Sus scrofa: one gene and its partner. The protein of the gene in region 1 interacts with the protein of each later gene in a biochemical or structural test. Links are inferred from orthologs where the notes say so. Each region holds a gene or a part of one and is shown on either strand. Other genes may lie near its edges.

Region 1 (4,247 bases):
AAAAGCTACTCTTCTTACCATTTTTCTGAAAACAGAGGAACCAAGAAACCATTTCCCATGTCCATATTTCATGCCAGGATTTGATGAGCTCTGATTTTTTTCTCCACTCAGATGGTACCTGGTGCTGGCTCTGTGCCTGCTATCCAAAGAATCCCTCTTCCCGGGGCAGAGATGCTTGAAGAAGAGCCTCTCTATGTGAATGCCAAACAGTACCACCGTATTCTTAAGAGGAGGCAAGCCCGGGCTAAATTAGAGGCAGAAGGGAAAATTCCAAAGGAAAGAAGGGTACGTGTAACACTGGGAAGGATGTAGGACAAGAATGGCAGGGTTCTACTTTTGAAACCAAACCTTAGAGGGTTTGGTTCCAGTACCTTCCAGACATTGAAGTTAGATAGCTGTTATCTTTTGTAAAAGCATTTATTATTTCTAGATATAGCGGCAACTACAATATTTAAAAAAACAAACAAACAATCCTGTGGTGTAAATAGGATTTTTTTTTTCCTTACATAAAAGAAGTCCAGAGATAAATTGTCTTGGACTGGTAGCACATTTCCAGACCCATTCTCCTCCTATTTTACTGTCCACCCATAGTCCAAGGTAACTGCCTGGGCTCTAGCCTAGGAGCAAAGGGAACTAGAAAGGCAGTCTTATGACATTCAGCATTCAGGAAGTTCCATACATCTTATTAGCCCAAATTCAGTGGCCGCTTACCTACAAATCGGATTAGGGAAAACAGACTTTTTACTGAGCAGCCAACTAAAATTTGGGTTGTTACTCAAGTGAAAGAGAATATATATTGGGCAGTAGGTAGCAATCTCATATATTTAGGGAATCTTTTTTTAGTTATTATTCATTTAGCATTTACATTCTTATGATAGTTGCATAAGGTTAACTGCTTTTCTGTTTTCTCTGAATGTTTCTCCATAATACAATGCCATAATTCCCCCTGGTCACTTAGATCATAGCTGTCCTAAACTTTTGAGGATGGAATGTGTGCGTTGGATAACTGTGCTGGTTTCAGCTAATAATTTTCTTCCTTGTTTTAGAAATACCTGCATGAGTCTCGGCACCGTCATGCCATGGCCCGGAAGCGTGGTGAAGGTGGACGATTTTTCTCTCCAAAGGAAAAAGACAGTCCCCATATGCAGGTAGGACAATTTATACCTTTTATCCTTCTCTTTACTGCTTTATATTTTCTTGGGTGGAAGCCTTCACAGTGTCTTCTTGATATTTTCACACTCCTCTCTAAATTGGATACAACATTATGTATCTTGGATTCCTTCTCATCTTAAAAGAACTAAGGTCTTTAAACCACTGGCCTCTTTTCCTCCCAGTCTTTGCCTGTTATTACTATTAATTCCTCTGGAATCACTTGATTTTCAAAGAACTAGTTTGGGTTTCTTAGTGTAGTAGGCAGCAGCAGCAGCTAACACTTAATTGCAGTGTGTCCACCATTAAGCATTTTTATAAGCATCTTTTTCATTGAATGTAACATGAGGTAAGAGTTATAGTTTGCATTTTATATTTGAATCTGAGGTTTAGAGAGGTTAAGTAGTTTGCTAAGGTAAAATATTTAATAAAATGGTGCAACTGAAACTCAGACCCAGACAGTATAATTCCAGAACTTGTTTACTCTGTAACCATACTGGTTCTTACATCTCATTCCACTAATTGTACCTTAATGGCATTTCTGAGTCAGTATATCCAAAATAGAACTCTTGATTTGTGTGTGTGTGTGTGTGTGTGTGTGTGTGTGTGTGTTTTGTTTTTTTTTTTTTAATGCCTTCACCAGACACTCACCTCAACAAGTGACATGTCCATTCACCCAGTTATTAAAGGTAGAATTGTCCAGTTCTTAAAGTTCTCTTGGTTTTAACTAAAATATAATCTAAATCAGCTTCTTGCCTTCCCACCTGCCATCAGCCTAGTCTAACCCTCTCTTCTTTGCTTTACTTAATACAACAGCTGCCTAGTCTCCCTTTTTCCCCTCCTGTACCCTCTAGTTCATTCTCCACATCTTAGTGCAGTCTTTCTAAGTATATATCATATATCACATCACTGTCTTGCTTAAACCTCTTCCACTCTCACCCTTTCTGTTTGAACTTAAGTTAAAAGTCGTAGTATTTATTTACCATGGCCAGCAAGGCTCTTCATTATCCACTCCTGCCCACCTCTGGCTCTGTTCCCTCCTGCGCTTGGTCTTTATGCTCTTGCTATAGTGTTTGTCGGTCTGTCTCCTGCACTGGGACCTTTTTTTTTTTTTTAAATAGCTGGTCTGTAGAGCTTTTCACGCCATCTTTTTTGCATGGCTGTCTCCTTATCTTCTAGGTCTTGGTTTAAATCTAAGAGGCCATATCCAGAGTGGCTGTCTTTACCCTATAATTTCCTCACAGCTTCCTTTTCTTTTGAGCACGATAATAATTATATTGTTTTATTTGTGTGATTGTGCAGTAGTCAGTAGTTGTCTCCTTCACTAGACTAAGCTGTGTAGAGAGTAGAGGATTGTTGTTTCAGATTGTATTTAGTGTAATGCCCATTCAGTAAATGTTTGTTGAATTAATGGGTTTCTCCCATTTACTGGTACGTGGTTCTGTGTGCCATCACATCCCATCTACACTATTTTCAGATTGCTCTTTATAAGATAGTGCTTTCTTAATCATCGCAGTCCCCTGCTCAGGGATGCATGCTAGTTCCTCATTTCTTTCTGCAGCAGATCTCAAACTATTAATTTAGCCTCTTTTAGCCTCACTTTCTTCACCTGTAAAGTGGACTGCTGTTGATAATGTAACAGAATAGTGGGATATCATGCAAAAAGTTAACATTAGGCACCTCCCTAGCCCAGTGCCTAGTACATGGTGAGAGCTCAGTAAATGGTAGTTATTATTCTTGCTCAAAGCCTCTGATCTGTCCACCTCCAGAAATGTTTCAACTTTTTCTTGGATCATGCCAGTTGAGGCTTCACAGAGCCTTGATGTGGGGGAACTGAAAGTGGTTATTTTGGAGTGTTGCATAGAGCTTCCCAGGACTGATCCTTGTCCTGACACTGCAGGTTTTAAGTAAGAGGCAGGCAGAGTTTAGTGGAAAGAAGATTGAAAGGGAATCAAGAGATTTGGGAGTTTGTTCTTGCTGGGTTCCTCACTAACTTTTTGACTCTAGTCCAGGCAAATCACTTTACACATCCAGGCTTCAGGTTTATCTACAAAAGGAGTGCATTAAAGTAAGTAAATTCCAACGTTCTTTCCAGCCCTGCTAAGTGCTTGTATTTAAATATGATGATCAGGAAATAATGGCACAAAAATACAGGATGACTTGGTTTCTCTGGGTCTTTTTCTTAACTGCCTAAGGACCTTTAATCCTTAAGAGCAGAACATAACACAGTTGCTTAGGAAAGAGATACTCTCTGAACTCTGAGGTGTTGAGCAATGCAGTGCCAGTCCAGACTTGGAATCTTTTTAAGAATAAGGTTTGTTGTCTCTTCTTTGCTAATAGAGCTGCATTTAAAACCATGTATGCAGGCTTAGATGTATTACAGGCCTTTGGCTAACTTAGCAAAGTCTGTGTATTCTCTTGGTGATAAGTACCGAGAGCAGTGAGTTCCCAGATGCTTTTGCAAAGGACTGTAATCATTACACTTATTTCTTTGTAGGATCCAAATCAAGCAGATGAAGAGGCTATGACACAGATCATCCGAGTGTCCTAACCCCAGGCCATGTGATGGAGCTGATCAAGGTCATGTTCCTCACACCGTTTCCCACTGTTCCAAGGAAACTGATCAACTCTTCCGACGGGACACTGACGATCACATTCTGCCCTTTTCTACAGGACAGAAACCACTTAGTTTTTAATAAGTGGTTCAGTATTATAATTGCAGTGATATCTGGCAAATTGAAGTTGCAAGCCTTTGTCTCGCCCTTTCAGTCAGGACTTCCTTCAGACTGTGGGTGACATTGACATTTCATGGATTGGGATGATGCAAGGGAGCCATGCCAGCCTAGCAGTACCACACATAGCACTTATGTTGCCTGGTGATGCCAGCCAGCCGTCTCCGCAGAGGAGAATGACCTTCTCAACCTAAACTGCAATCAGGGAAGCTGCAGCCCACTCCTTTCCCAAGGATTCTGAACAGCACCCGTCCCTCTGCTGGGGGATCTCAGGCTGACTAATGAACACTTTGTATTCAGAGATGGTTTCCAGGCAAGGAAGCTCCATCTCATGATATGGAAACAATAAATTCTCTGAGATACATT
Region 2 (4,237 bases), on another chromosome or scaffold:
TCTGCTTCCACAAGTTCTAGTATTCTAAGATAAAACAAACAAATAAAAGAAGCCGATGTGCACTGATTTCAACCATCAGGCTTTCACTTTAAGCAACTGCATGTTTTAGGATTAATGTGGCTCAGTGGAGCGCTGCTGTTAAAGCGCAGAGGGTCCATGCCCGGGGTGGGGGCGGGGAACGAACATCAAGGCGCCGGAAAGTTCCCACAGGTCCTGGCCGGAGATTCTGTGAAGAGTAGCCTGGAAGGTGATTTGTTTCCCTTTGCTTTGGTCTGTACTTTTTTCCTTGTAAAAAATGATGTGGGGAGGGGAGAAGGGACGAAGAGAAATGGGGAGGGTAGTTTTTCCCAAAGCCTGGGTCCTTAGCCGGCCTCCTTTGCAGGGCTGGTTCGCATTGAAGCTGTTCAGTATTTGACGACCACGGCTTGAAAAGAAAGCCCCCCACAAGAGTGACTCGTGAGGGGGAGAGGGAGGGCTTTCGGGGAGCAAAGGGTGGCTCCGTCTTGCCCCGCGGTTCAAAGTGAGGTTGGATCGAACTTTTGGTATCAGCGGGTGGAGGGACGGCTTTTGATGTTGGAGTTGGAGGCAAGAGGTGGCAGGGCAGCAGCTGACAGGGGGTGGAGCTTCGGGCTAGAATCCCGAAGGGTTTCAGAAAGACCCGACTTCTATTGACAGTAGGAGGGGCTCCCGACGAAAGGGGCGGGCTTGGACAGTACTGCCACCAAATGGGACTTATGACAAGGGGCGTTTCTCAGGATCCAGCGGTGACTTTAGGAAGAAGGAGCGCCCGGGGGCGGGGCCACAACTGACAGAAGGCGGGGCTGCCTTCTGGATTGACCTGAGTGAAGAAAAGGCTTCTACCGATAGCGGGCGGAGCTAACACCAGCAAGGGGCGTGGCCGCTTCGAGACTTGGAAAAGGCGGGGCTTCTGTTGACAGAGGGGCGGGGCGGCCCCCTACCTCTCGCCCTGCGCCAATCCGGGGGTGGAGGCCAGGGTCGAACCCCAGGGGAGAAGCAGGGTCTGCGAGTGGAAAGCGTGGCGCAGAGCGGGGTGGGGGCGCGCGGAGGGCGCGCGCGCGCGGGAGGGCCCCGCCTCGGCCGGCTCTTCCCCTCCCCCGCTCTCGCCCCGGGTCGGCCGCTGGGGCGCGCGCCTGGCCTAGCACCCCCACCCCAGACTTTACGTTCCACCGAGTCTGCGGATCTGCTGAAGCCGTGAGCCGGACCGCCGAGCGGTTCCGGGTGTAGGGTTCACAGGTCAGAGTTGACTCCTTGAAAAGTGCAGCCGGTTTGAAATGCAAGATGGCGGCGGCGGGGCGCTGAGAGGCGCGGCGGCCCCTGCAGGTAGCGGTGCGAGCGGGCTTCGCGACGAGCGGCCCCGGGCATCCGGGGCTGCGGGTAGGAACCCGCGGCGCAGAGCCCGCGGCCAGTGCGGCGGGCCGGGAAGGCGCGCGGCGCGCGGGCTGGTTGGACGAGGGCGGCCCGAGGGCAGAGACCCCGGGGGGCTGAGCGCGCTCCGCGCCGCGAGTGGCCAGGCTGACCGGCTCGGGGCTTCCGAGGGGGAGGGACCTGGCCTGCCTGGGCCGGATCGCCGACGGGGGACAGACCCTGAGCCTCTTTTGCGTTCTCGGGTCTCTGCGGCCGCGGAAGGGGCTGAGGGTGGGCTTGTACGGGGAAATCTCAGCACCCCTCTCCTCCCCCGCGGCTACGAGAGGACCGAGCAACTTGAGATTATTGAAGGGAGTGAGGACCGGGTCTCCCTTAGAAGGGGGGGGGCGGGGGCCGCAGGGACGGAGCGCACCAGCAATGTCGAGGGTCCCTGGGGAGGAGATCGGGAGCCGGGCCCTGCCCTGCGGGGGCGTGTGGCCTCGTGGGGACTCGGTCTCCCTGAGAGTCTGGGGAGTCATCTCTTGCTGGAGCTGAGCGCACTGGCATTGCGGTTGGAGCTCGGAGAAACCCGTCTGGGAAAGGCTGTACCTCCACTTCAGGAGAGGCTGGGCACCCATTTCGGGGCGAGTCTCAGAGTTGAGACCTTAAGAACTATATAAGGTTTTGAAGAAGCCCTGGAACTTTGGGAGAAGTTGATTCAAGAAAATGTAAATATTATCTGTCCCTTTAAGGAGGAAGATGAGGAGGCTGACTGGGGACCGCTCCAAGCCTTAGGGCCTAAAGGGAACGGTTTCCAGATCTTTCCGAGGAGTGAAGGGCTAGGAGGGAGCTGTGAGAGGAAGGGGGTCTCATGGTAGGAAAGAAGAGCCCTGGCTGATGCCCTTTCCGTGTGTGTGTTTACTCCAAAGTTCTAGGGAAAGGGACTTGAAATTCTTTGTTTCAATTCGACATCCCAGCTCTCCCCTCCGTGGGTAACAGCAAAGAAAATGCAAAACCCGGGAGAAAAAAAAGGTTCCCTTTGATATCCTTAGTTTAGGATCAAGCTCCCTGGCCCTGGGGTAGAAGAATTAGGAAGCGGGAAAGGGGATGGATAGAGGAGGGATGGGGGAAGAGACTGGGAAGAGCGGGAATTCCACAGCGCTTTTCTATCATTTCACCCCAGCTCTAAAGAAAAACGTGCGAAGAGGCTAATCTTTGCGGGGGGTGGGGGGAAATGTCAGGAAAGGTAACTGAGAATTTATAATGTGATTAGGTTGGGATTCCATGTAACTTGAAAGGAAGATGCAATTGTCTTGGAGAGTAAGAGGAGGGCAGAAAAGGGAAAATCACAAGATTGGGAAATAGAGTGGTTCACAGTTAGGGAGGAAGAAGCAGCTTTCTCCCAGGAATTGTGACTATTCACTGGGTTGGAGTGTATGTGTGTACATGACCTACATGAATTAACCTTAAGATTTGCTGATCTTGGTCCTTGTTTCTCAGCCTTTGTCTGGAAGCTTTAACTTGTGTTATATGGTGCTACGTGAATTATCCCTGCTTCTAAAAAATTATCCTGAAAAAGTCGTTTGTTTTTTATGCCAGCAGTGAGGATGAGCAGATTTGGTTTTAACAGGGATATTGGCCCTAGAATATCGATAGCTTTTTAAACAATTTCTTAAGTAGCAATTCTGACTCTTGATTTTTAAGCAAAAGAAATGTGAGAGCTGCCAAGAACAATAATGCTGTAACAGGATATAAAAGAAAAAAGGCTTTCGTGAATATTTTTCCCTCTTAGTTTTTCCCTCCGTACTCTAAGTGTTTTAGGGCTAAGCAGACTAATTTTGGGAAAAATAAGATGTAAAACTTTGGATCCTTTCAGTATAGAAATGGTAGCATTTTTATCAATGACTTTTGTGGAAGGATCTTTTCAAATGGTTTATTTAGTGATCAGATTAAAATAAGAAAAAAAGAAAGTGAGATTTGGGTAACCCATGACAGCTATGACTCATACAGATTTCTTGAACCATTCTAGTATTTTTAAAAAGAGCTTTAATGTCTTCAATAGAAATATTTTAAAAAACACATTTCAAGTATAAACTAGTTTAGAGCTGCTGTTTGGAACATTATTATTCATGTATGCTGTTCTTTGGTTTCCCCAAAGTGCACGTAGGTCTAGTTTTATATTCAATTCTGAACAGATTAGGCTGGGTGAACCAGAAAGGCATTGATGCCAGATGGTTTGAAAATATGCTAAGGCTGAAAACATAAAGTGCCTGTGCTGGTGAAAACTCATTAGTAGATGTCGCTCCCTTATAGTGAGCTGAGCTGATTATTTCACTGGATTGGAGAACAATTCATGAACGTTGTGGCAGTTGTTTCACCTTTAATGATACTTGTATTATAAGTTCTTTTTTCCATTAAGTATGAAAAAAAGTTTTACAGTTTATGAATGAACTTGATAGCATGGTGGGGTGGCTCATTTTGTTTCTATATTTCACATTGAGACTGAAAGGTGATGTTATGATGCACTATACATTTTCTTTCTTGCTACATGGGCACAAAAATGTGATATTTGGAACTTGGTTTGCTTTAAATTATCTCTTTATACTTAAATGGAATGCTCTTAAAATTGCTAAAATGATTACAAGTATAGCTGAGGAAATAACCTTTTTATGTGCATTGCAGCATTGTAGATTTGGGCTCAAAAGACTGTACTTATTTGAATACTAACAATGATGAACAGTTCAGTGCCTAAGCTAGTTTTTAACCTAATATCATATTCAATCTGTTCAGGGAGGAGTCCGGAAATATCTGTTGCACTACTTGTGGTAATAGCCACATTCACTTTTACATGGCAATTTTTTCTAACTCAAAA

What was found. The genes of interacting proteins can lie anywhere in the genome.
Region 2: the proteins of NFYA (region 1) and ZHX1 form a complex in vitro, tested with the Homo sapiens proteins (2 studies listed by BioGRID). The link is inferred for Sus scrofa from reciprocal best matches to the Homo sapiens genes NFYA and ZHX1.

The regions. Positions count from the first base shown.
Region 1 is NC_010449.5:36,403,201-36,407,447, forward strand, and holds part of NFYA (nuclear transcription factor Y subunit alpha), read left to right. Parts: intron 1-111; coding exon 112-285; intron 286-1,046; coding exon 1,047-1,148; intron 1,149-3,646; coding exon 3,647-3,700; 3' UTR 3,701-4,247. UniProt on the Homo sapiens protein: Component of the sequence-specific heterotrimeric transcription factor (NF-Y) which specifically recognizes a 5'-CCAAT-3' box motif found in the promoters of its target genes.
Region 2 is NC_010446.5:16,099,851-16,104,087, forward strand, and holds the start of ZHX1 (zinc fingers and homeoboxes protein 1), read left to right. Parts: upstream 1-929; 5' UTR 930-1,341; intron 1,342-1,894; exon of another isoform or gene 1,895-2,093; intron 2,094-4,237. UniProt on the Homo sapiens protein: Acts as a transcriptional repressor. Increases DNMT3B-mediated repressive transcriptional activity when DNMT3B is tethered to DNA. May link molecule between DNMT3B and other co-repressor proteins.